Saccharomyces cerevisiae S288C: one gene and its partners. Changing the gene in region 2 together with the main gene of any one other region gives a genetic interaction. Each region holds a gene or a part of one and is shown on either strand. Other genes may lie near its edges.

What was found. Genes that interact genetically often act in the same process or in processes that back each other up.
Region 1: mutations in ROF1 (region 2) and BSC1 together harm fitness less than expected from each alone (positive genetic interaction), as found in Saccharomyces cerevisiae (one large-scale study listed by BioGRID).
Region 3: mutations in ROF1 (region 2) and YSA1 together harm fitness more than expected from each alone (negative genetic interaction), as found in Saccharomyces cerevisiae (one large-scale study listed by BioGRID).

What each region holds. Positions count from the first base shown.
Region 1 is NC_001136.10:384,101-387,311, forward strand, and holds BSC1 (Bsc1p), read right to left. Parts: upstream 1,488-3,211; coding exon 501-1,487; downstream 1-500.
Region 2 is NC_001140.6:454,524-458,670, reverse strand, and holds ROF1 (Rof1p), read right to left. Parts: upstream 2,081-4,147; coding exon 719-2,080; downstream 1-718. Other genes in the region: FMO1 (N,N-dimethylaniline monooxygenase), read right to left, coding at 3,144-4,147.
Region 3 is NC_001134.8:460,678-463,802, forward strand, and holds YSA1 (ADP-ribose diphosphatase), read right to left. Parts: upstream 1,197-3,125; coding exon 501-1,196; downstream 1-500. Other genes in the region: SUS1 (Sus1p), read left to right, coding at 1,462-1,532, 1,613-1,752, 1,823-1,902; transcription regulator CYC8, read right to left, coding at 2,193-3,125.

The DNA of each region.
Region 1 (3,211 bases), on a different chromosome or scaffold from region 2:
GCGTGTGGATCATCCGATGTAGTATACTCAATTGAAGATGTAGAGTCTGTGGAAGTAGAAATGGTAACAGAGCTACTTGGATCAGCTGGGCTAGTTTGAACGGCCGAAGTAGTTGAATCAGCTGGAGTAGTTGGGTTAATTGAAGTAGTCACAGCATTTGAACTAGTTGGGTCTGCTGAACTTGAACTGATAACAGAGCTACTTAGATCAGCTGAACTTGAACTGACTACGGAAGTAGTTGGATCAGCTGAAGTAGTTTGAACGGTCGAGGTAGTTGGGTCAGCTGAAGTAGTTGGGTCAACTGAAGTAGTTGGATCAACTGAAGTAGAACTGACTATAGAACTAGTTGGGTCAACTGAAGTAGTTGGATCAACAGAAGTAGTTTGAACGGTCGAGGTAGTTGGATCAGCTGAAGTATTTGGGTCAACTGAAGTAGTTGGGTCAACTGAAGTAGTCACAGCGCTTGAACTAGTTGGGTCTTCTGAACTTGAACTTACTACTTAAGTGGTTGGATCAACAGAAGTAGTTTGAATGGTTGAACTGGTTACATCGCTTGAACTACTAGAGTCACTTGAAGTGAAACTGCTGAAAGGACTAGTTGAAGCTGCTAATGTGGTGACATCAGTAGATGTTCTTGAACGATAAATATCGGCTACGCTTGATGAAGTATGTGAGTCAACGGAAGTAGTAAAATCAATGGATGTAGTGGAAGAGCTTTTCACAGTAGATGACGTAGTAGTGGAAGTTTTCGTAGAGGATGAAGTAGTAGAGGATGAAGTAGTAGAGGATGAAGTAGTAGAGGATGAAGTAGTAGAGGATGAAGTAGTAGAGGATGAAGTAGTAGAGGATGAAGTAGTAGAGGATGAAGTAGTAGAGGATGAAGTAGTAGAGGATGAAGTAGTAGAGGATGAAGTAGTAGAGGATGAAGTAGTAGTGGATGAAGTAGTAGTGGATGAAGTAGTAGTGGATGAAGTAGTAATGGATGAAGTAGTAATGGATGAAGACGAGGCTTTTGTACAAGTGCCATCATTGTTTCCCTTGCACTGGTAGGTCCAATAAAATCCAGGGAAATCCGTTTGTGAGTGGCCTTGATTGTCATAATTGTTACAACCTGTCGATAAATCGAAGGTGGTTGTCCCCCATTGCCAAGTTTGCCAGTACTGAGCAGCATCACCTTGTAGATATTCGAACTGGATTTGGAAATTTGGCATCCAAACTGTGCAACCGTCAGAAGAAGGGTAAGCATAAACCTGAAAAGTGGATGTAAAATCTGTTGGATCACTGATTAGGTATGTCTTCTCATTTTTGCCGTAAAGTTGTACGGTGCTTGAGGGACCGTTGACACCAATAATCTTTAAAGACCATAAATATTTCAAAGGGATATCTTTTACGGCTTTGACATGAATAGTAATCTGGTATGTGTTATCCTTGACCCATGATACGGAAGTAACATCCATATCATAATGTAGTATATTCTGTTGGCTCATGTGCCAGTTGAAATCCAAATTTGGACAACCATTGATAGCAACGCTTTCGTCTCTTTTGCTTAGATCAAATGAAGGGCTCACCTTGTCATCAATTCTATCAGCAGTCGCTGAATTTGTGAGCAAGGCCGCAAATAGGAGGCAAAATGATATTAGTAGTTTTCTTATGAATGATGTGGATACCTATTTTACACTTTTGCAACAAGGGGAGGAAAATTGCCAAGACCATCATGACATTGGAGGAAGTGATTTGCTTCTCTTAAATATAAAATAATTAAACGATCATGGAGATGCAGCGAACTAATGTGAAAAATTTTTCTTTCCAGTAGTATCGGTTATTCTGTAAGCATAGAATCGGGTATTAGTGGCTTGTTCCGAGCTTTTTTTCTTTGCCAATAAGAAAACAAGTAAAATGCAACGTGCAAATGCTGATCTGATCTCGCCTGGGCCAGTTTTATCGTCATGTGCGCGTGTAGGCACGAAAAAAAAGAAAAGACCGCTACCTCTCCTTCTAAAATGACAGGAGGAGAATATAAGGTTTGGCAGCCCCTTGAAAGAGCCGCAGGAACCAAAAAAAAAAGAAGGAAAGTTTATTTTTTTCTTTTTCCAAAAGACTTTTTAAGATGTTTGTCAGCAAGATAATACAGGACCTACACGACTATCAGTCACAGCCAGAGAAACGTTTGTCGTATGATGGCAAAATATTTTTCCCACAACTTTGAAATTATTTTCAAATATGGCAGAACAGTTTAACATTTGGTTTCAAGAGGTAGCACAAGTTCTTGAATAGTATTTGTTCGCGTTAAGATGGAAGCAGGCCAAATGCCCCAATAATCTAATAACCGTATTTTCTATGCTAAAGGAGGAACGAACACTCGGTCTTGTACAGGCAGCTCTAAAAGGAAAATTTCCATCCCCCCAGGCCAAGAAAATCAGAATCATATGGCCCCCTTCCATTCTAACGGAATAGTATATCAAAGAAATAATGTTTACGTAAGCCATAGACAAGCGATATAATCTTTTTTATCCTTAAACTAGGTGCTTCATTAAGAAAGAAGAAGAAAAGAAGAAAGTACGACAAAGACTCCCCGCTGGACAATAAACGGGGGCGGCAGGTGTTAATTCCGAATTGAAATTTAAATTTGACATAAGCAAAGTTTAAAGTTTTTTTTTTCCAGTTCTTTTTTCCCATCGTTTTTTTTTCTAGAAGCCGGGTTTTTCACCGTCAAAAAATTTCCTAAAAAAGATCTGTCAATCATTAAGTTTTGCTTTTTCGGCTTTTAAGCCATGCTTTCAGGCAAAAATTAAGATTTCTTCGTAAAGATCGGAGCCTTACGCCCAAGAAGCAACTGGCCGTAAAATTTTTTCTTCGATCGGGTGGCAAATGGAACAGAAGATCATGAGTAGAAGGAAAAGTAAACAAAGAATTGCGTCGGTCAACCGGTTGTTGCTGCGTGCTTCAGCGGGTGATAAATAAAAGATTTCCTATCTGAGTAATCGATGACACAAGCGGTCTGCGCTCGGTCGCTTCCAAGCCTTAACAAAGTTTTTACTTTATGGTTTTTAATAAATAAATAAAAAGAAACGTGGATTTGGATAGCAGAAAGCCTCGAAGATCATTTTATCAATGAAATTTTATGGTTAACACTTTCAAGACTCCGATTTTCTCTGCTACGTGAAATTTTAGGTTGCGAAAAGAATACTACCGGGAATACTAGGAGTGTGGA
Region 2 (4,147 bases):
GTAGCGAGTAGATATAGAATCTGTTAACATAACTTCATGCCTTCTTGTCTTAGAACATTCCTATACGCGAGAACCGCGCCGCGAAGAAGAAGCCACAGAAACATAAACGTATCCTCAAGAAGTCTTCGAGCTTTAAGTCGTTTCTCTTAGTCTCGCTTTCACAGTGTTACTGCTATCATTTCTTCACTCCTGGAGGCAAACGGATATTCTATAGAAGAAATTGGATGAGGACAAAATGTGTTGTTGCAACTTTAACTACGTGAGAAAGGTGAAAGTAAGGTATTAGAAGAGAGGACACAAGAGTTATAATATCAGTAACTTTCGAAGTGGGTATCTCACATGGTTTTGATTGGGGTTCTCGATTGTTTTGCCCCCCTGGTTTATTCATTTTTCATAACAATGCCAAGAACCGTTTTTAGGTTTGATTTCTCAGTTCCCTTGCGTTTCTTTCTCTGGAAATTTCATGATAGAATTACAAATTTGGATATGCTTGTTAGTATATGATACAATGATGGAGGTGAAAATCAGATGGTCCTATAAATAGTTTTTCGAAATCCATCGATGGTAGGGAACAACAAGAACAAGCACCCTCCTGTTTTTTTAAAACCCTTTCTGAAAAACACACAATTGGCTGCCCTTTCTATGTAGTGAAGAATCCTTTTGGAATATGAGCGGTACTTTAGGTGAACCTTTCAGCAATTGAAAGGATGCTGATCTTCTACTTTGAGTATTGGTGGGATTTAGGATTGCTTGATGTGTTGTTTTTACTAAATGTTGGTGGATGTTGCATGCTGTCTGGCGCATGAATCATTTGGTATTGTGTTTGAGCCGGGGGATTCATACGAGGAGCTGGCAAAATATAAATGCCATCTAGGTTCTTGTTGGTTGTGGAGGTGGTTATGTTTACATTTGGAGGATTAATAGAATCTGTGACTGGTTTTGGTTGTCGGTAATCATGCACAAGTATATGGTGTACTGGGGGCATCATTGTTGGGGCGATAGGCGCCTTAGAGTGATTGCATTCAGGACCCGACCTCGAAGAGTATGGATCGATATTTTGGTATGGTATTGGGCTCAATGTATTGGAGGAGTATATCACTGAAGGCGACACGCCACGCCGTTCATAAGGTGCTGCAGTAGGTTGTTGCGGGAGAGTATTGTATGTATTGCAGAAAATCATAGGTTGTGAGACCGTACGTCTCAATCCAGGCTGATAGTTAGGATTGTAAACACCAATTGGTTGTGGCTGGTGCTGCATATACGGGAGAGGTAATTTATTCTGTTCATCTATGGGTAAGAGATATTGTTGCTGTTGTCGGTGCTGCTGTTGGTGCATTTCTCGAGGAGCGTTATTGAAGGTGGTTAAAGGTAACTGAACTGCGGTCCTAACTGGAATATTTCCAGGATGGTTGTTATAATTGCTCAAGAGATCACAATAGCTCGGAGAAGATGATAAAGACCTGCGCGTTTTATAATTATGAGCTTTGGTTCTGCCTCTCTCATTATTTTTAGACGGGTTAGATCTGCCATTTCCTACAGCAACTTTTTGTAAAGCATCTAATAGTTTCTGTGAAGGTCGAAATTTATGGAAGAAAGGATTTTCTGAAGGTCTCCTCAAACTTCCTTGATGAATATCCTTTTCCGTATAGTACGCAATAAGATGAAATGTTTCCAGCTTAGTGCTGTCGGTGGGATCCATATTGAATTTTAGAGAAAATGTTTTTTTCAGTAGTCCAGTATAAAAATACTTCCTATGAGCCCTCTCGAAGATATTATACTCAGGTACATTATGCAGCGGTAGATCGTGCGTGGAACCCAGCCTATTATACTCTCTATATACGAGAAATTTGCCTGAAATTCTTGAAGGAGACCAAGAAAAACCATCTGTCCATCTTTTGATGCCGGATTTCTCTTCGTTGAAAACAAAAATGTTTCCGGGGTTGACTAATTCAACCTTTTCTGCATCATATGGCCTCCGTTCGATGCATCTCAAATTTCCATTGAATACGCCCTGGAAAACAAGGGCTAGATCTTGCTCGTCGTCGATGTACCCATAACAGGTAGGGCTGATATCCATCATTCTTACGCTTACTCGTCGATCTCCTTTTCCTATCTATTGTTTGATTAATTATCTTAATTCGTGGTTCCCTTTTTTCTCGCTTTATTTGTTTGTTTTGTTGAAGAAGGGCTTACAAGAATGTACGTATTAAATAATAATTCATACAAATAAACAGGGAATGATACATAGTAGTTCTCCCGCAGCAGCTACGTATGAATTACCCGCCTACCCGGTACTATAAAGAAAGAATAAGTGGGCGTCGATTATGAAGATTTACTAACTGCAATTATCATTTTTTTGATTTTCCTCAGTCCCTTAGGTGCGTTTTTGTGTTAATGCCTATTTTTTTTTTCTAGGCTTTCTTCTTCACTTCCTCTTTCCTCTTGAATTTTGAGGAATATACGACCGAGAAAAAGACAGACTACTTAAAAAGTTGCCAGAGTGATTAAAGTTCCGGGAACAAGGCTAAAATACGTTTACAACATATTCTTCCTTTTTTTTCCACATAAAAAGGTTAATAGTCATAGTCATATGTTAGCGTGATTTCAACTTAAAATTAGAGATTATTAGATAATTTTTTTTTAAATGACGGCCAAGAAAGTGAAAGTCTAAAAGGAACGTTTATCGCTTAATTTCTCTCTGCCTCAGATTCATACGTTGTTAAGATCTTTAAAAGGATGGCCTTTGCAGGATACTGAGGTTTATGCTGGCGCGCCTGTGCGGATTTTCCAGATTCAAAAAGAAAGTTTTCTTTTTTTTTTACATGGGAACTGCGTAGCCGCGAAGCACTGCAGGCCTTTCAGAGCAATTTTTGGCGCTGCCTTTTAAAAACTTACATTAAGGTTCGCTATTGCCGAAACGGAAGAGGCGGAAATTTAAGTATTCGTTAATTTTACGGTGGCGGTACGGTATATTCTGCGTAAGCAATCTGCGGACGGCCGGATTATTAATCAATGTTTGAAAAAAAAAGATAGCAGAAGTGAAGATTTCTTATTTTAACAGCGATAAGGTATATACATGAGGGAAACGAAATATTAAGCGGCACAATATGTGTTTTTTCTATACAAGTACATTCCTTTTTACGTTAAGTATGTGGCGCCGGAAGGAAGTATGGTGCTTTTTTTTTCTTTAGGGCTTGTGCGTGTTCCGCTAGAAGCACATTTCTTTCTTCTTTGTCTGTATAACTACTGTTTCTTAGATCGATCAGTCTATCATCCCATACAACTGGTTCGAAATGACCGACCCTACGTGGAATGCTATTCAGTAGTTCCTGTAGTTCTGCATAGTATTCCAGGTCCTTTCCCTTTGGGAAGTTGTGCGTTCCGCAGGCATTAGAGTCGAAAGTTGTAGTTATCGGTAAGCTTTTACAGAATACTTCGACCATAATAGCCGCCTGTAGTTCCGACAACGGGAACGGGATGACCAACTGCGGGGTCAAGATAAAGGACAGCGTAGGATCTTTTACATAGATCATGTGCTCCCACAAATTGTGCAGATTGACAGACGAGTGCTTGTCGCCAGTAACACCCTCACCTAGCACTTCCAGTCTAACGGAGGGCTCTATAAATGGAAAGCTGTAATAATAGCCTGTGGCGAAAATAATGTAGTCTATATTCTGAAGTACTCTTCCATCAGATAAAGTAACTGAACGATTTTTCCAATCGGCACTGTCTATTGTTTGGACAGTCTCGATTAACTTGGCCTTCAGTTGATTGCTCGCAGGCTCTTTTATACTATTATATACTTTCTTTGCAACGGTAGTTAGTTGGTTGGCAATATCTTGGCCGGAACTGCCGTTTCCCACCACAATAACGACTTTTTCACGGGCAAACTCGCAGTTTTTGAAATCCTTAGAATGAAAGGCGCCCTTATTGTCGAACCATAGATCGAGACCTGCGATATTAGTTGGTAGTTTAGGGACACTGTAGTGACCAGACGCAACAATAACGAAGTCAAAATCCGATTTAGTAGTCCTTAGTTCGTCTTTAGATGTTATCTCCCATTGAGAGTTCTTCTTCTTTAAGTAGGTAACTTCGGTGCTGAAATGGATGCTGATAGCATCTTTGTTGGCAATGAACGTTTTGTAAT
Region 3 (3,125 bases), on a different chromosome or scaffold from region 2:
GTTGATAAATATATCCTCAAGGACTACTTCTTTTATATTTCTTGTAGGTGATGTTGTGCCCTCATCGTTAATTTGAATCCCAGCAATTATCAGACAGTTCTGCCGCCCTTCGGCAATGTCCAAGCTGTAGCCAAATACTTAAATCAAGGAACACTAACCATGTATGACATACAAGGAGCACTACCACTGATTTCAACAGATATTAATGGTAGTTTTTTGCAGAATCGTAAGGTAGATCAGTGGAAATAGTAGAAAAGGGCTAGTTTAGATTCAAAATTTGGTAACACGTAACGTCGCGCTTTGGAAAATATACCTCAATGCTGACTACTTAAGATGGCAAATAGCCTTGTCAAATTTCCTACGGAATGTTATTTTCATTACGTCCTTCTTTTTCAATGTACTTATTCATAAATGGGACACTATCTTGTTGCAAAAGGTACTTTGTATTTTGGTATTAACATCTCGCCTATTTTTCATACAGAAACACTACTTATCGCTATCTATTTGATGTGGTATTGCTTGGCCATGAGGATACCTTGAGCTACGTTTTGAACACGTGCATCCAACTTGTAGCCTTGTTGATCCAACTTAACCATTTCATCAGGAAACTTGTGCAACTCAACGCTAAAGCATTCGATAAATTCATTATCTTCCAATTGAGTAACTGGTTTTTGGTTTTCAGGTAAACTCATATCAACTTCGACAGTAACCAGACAGAGGTTGGTGTTTGTGAAACCAGGATCGTTAAAAACTGTTGGGCTTTTAGAAATTATTTTACCACTGTAACCAGTCTCTTCTTTTAATTCTCTTAAGGCAGCAGTGTCAATATCTTCACCCGCATCTATCAAACCGGCTGGCATCTCAATGCATACGCCCTCAACGGGAGGGCGAAACTGCTTTTGTAGCAAAATTTCATCAGGTTTTCCATCTTTGTATTTTAGAATGGTTAAGATACCAATGCCGTCTACACCACCGGAACTTCTAGTGGTGCGGACTGCGCTATCCCATTCCCTTTCCTTCCCGTTGGGATCTTTGTAGATGATTTTTTGTAAACCGATCCACTTGCAGTCAGATGTTTCTTTAACGTGACGGGCTTCAATTATTTTAGCATCTTCTGGTTTACCCTTGACGGTGCTCATAGTTCTAAATAGTCTCCTTGAATTGAGGGAAATAACTCTTACGTTTCTCAAAAACATCTAAGTATGAGAAGGAAGGAAAATGCCGAAAGAATAATCATAAAAGCATATATACGTGATTCATATGAAGGCTGTCTGACGTTGTATTAAACCGCTAACGGCCGTACTTGCCATCCCTTACGGAAGTGTATTCGCTTGCCGGACCTCTTCCTCCATGAAGACCAAAATGAGGAATTATGAAAAATAAAAAATGAAAATTGCCATAGGCATGGCTTGACCAACACATGCGACAAAATCAGAAGTAACAATTCTGGCCTTCACTCCAATGACTATGGATACTGCGCAATTAAAGAGTCAAATACAACAATATCTTGTAGAATCAGGAAACTATGAACTGTATGATAAAATATTATAGGGGTTGTCTTTTTTAAAAAATCTACTTTACTGACTATTCAGATCACCGTCACATTTATTAGAATTTCAAACGAACTAAAAGCCAGACTACTTCAAGAAGGTTGGGTGGATAAAGTCAAAGATTTGACCAAATCAGAGATGAACATAAATGAATCTACGAACTTTACCCAAATTTTATCCACCGTAGAACCCAAAGCATTAGGTATGTGAATATTTTATCACTAAATTTATTGAAAAGAGAACGTTACTAACAGTGGAATTTTTTTTTCTAGAAATGGTATCGGATTCAACAAGGGAAACCGTTTTAAAGCAAATAAGGGAATTTCTTGAAGAGATTGTAGATACACAATGAAGGATACGAAAATGCACCTTAATTCCCAATATTATTACATATGCTCATCGGGAAAACCTTTTAAGCAATAATAGATTTTAAGTATGTAATGATACAAATAATAATATATTTATATACGCATATATTTACATGTGCATATATGAAAAATAACCTAATTCACGTTACCCACCTTTTTTTTTAGCCTTTTCTTTATTTATATATGTATCCACAACATAATGAATGAATTGTGAGCTACACAACATTTCTCGTTGATTATAAATTAGTAGATTAATTTTTTGAATGCAAACTTTTTAGTCGTCGTAGTTTTCATCTTCTTCCACTTGCCTTACTACATTTTCTCTTGGAAGTGTGTTCTCCTGTGGGGATTTTTCTTGAGATGTTTGCTCTTCCTCACGCATTTTGGCCTCCTCTTTCACTGTTTCCATTGTTTCCAAAGTAGGTTTGATTACAGTTATCGTTGTAGCAGCGGTTTCATCTTGTTGTTTTTCAGCATCTCTGGAAGCTGCTGGCTCCGCCTCTTCAGTAGAAGGTGCAGATGCTTCAGTTGTGCCGTTTTCCTCTTTAGAATGCTGTCTTACTTCGTCTTCTACAGGGCTTGCTTCTGCAGGAACAGTAGCAGTAGAAAGTTCTATGGTCTCAGCAGTGCTTTGGTCATTTGCTTTTGTTGTTGAACTTTCTGATGATACAGTTGGTTGGACACTAGATGACTCTGGTTCCGTATTAAGCGGTTTTGTAGAAGGAGAAACAGAAGCTGCTTTGGTAGCTTCTTCAGCAGGACTAGCTTCCTGTGGAGGTTCCTGTGCGCCAATTACTGAAGGTATTGAGTTTGCTTTTACAGGTTTTTCTTCTTGTGAAGTATTATTGGTATTAGACTCCACTACTGCTGGCGATTGGTTGCTCACCTCAGATTTTGCATTTTCTTCAATGGAAGTAGCAGTATTTACTAATTTGTTGATGTTTGAATTTGGAGAGTTCAACTTTTGCTTCTTTACCTGTGGTTCAGCGTTCGTTATTCCTGTTGCGGGAGCTTGCGTTGGAATGGCATGGGTTGGTTGACGAGGAGACTTTGTGTTATTCTCTGTGTGGGTGCTACTGGATACGGCGGCATCTACTAAAGTGTGGATTGCACCTTCCATGTATCTCTTTTGAGGTAAAACGTTCTGTTCCACGTTATGCTGGATTAAAGGTTGGGGAGCTTGGGCTTGAGGCTGGCCTTGAAGTTG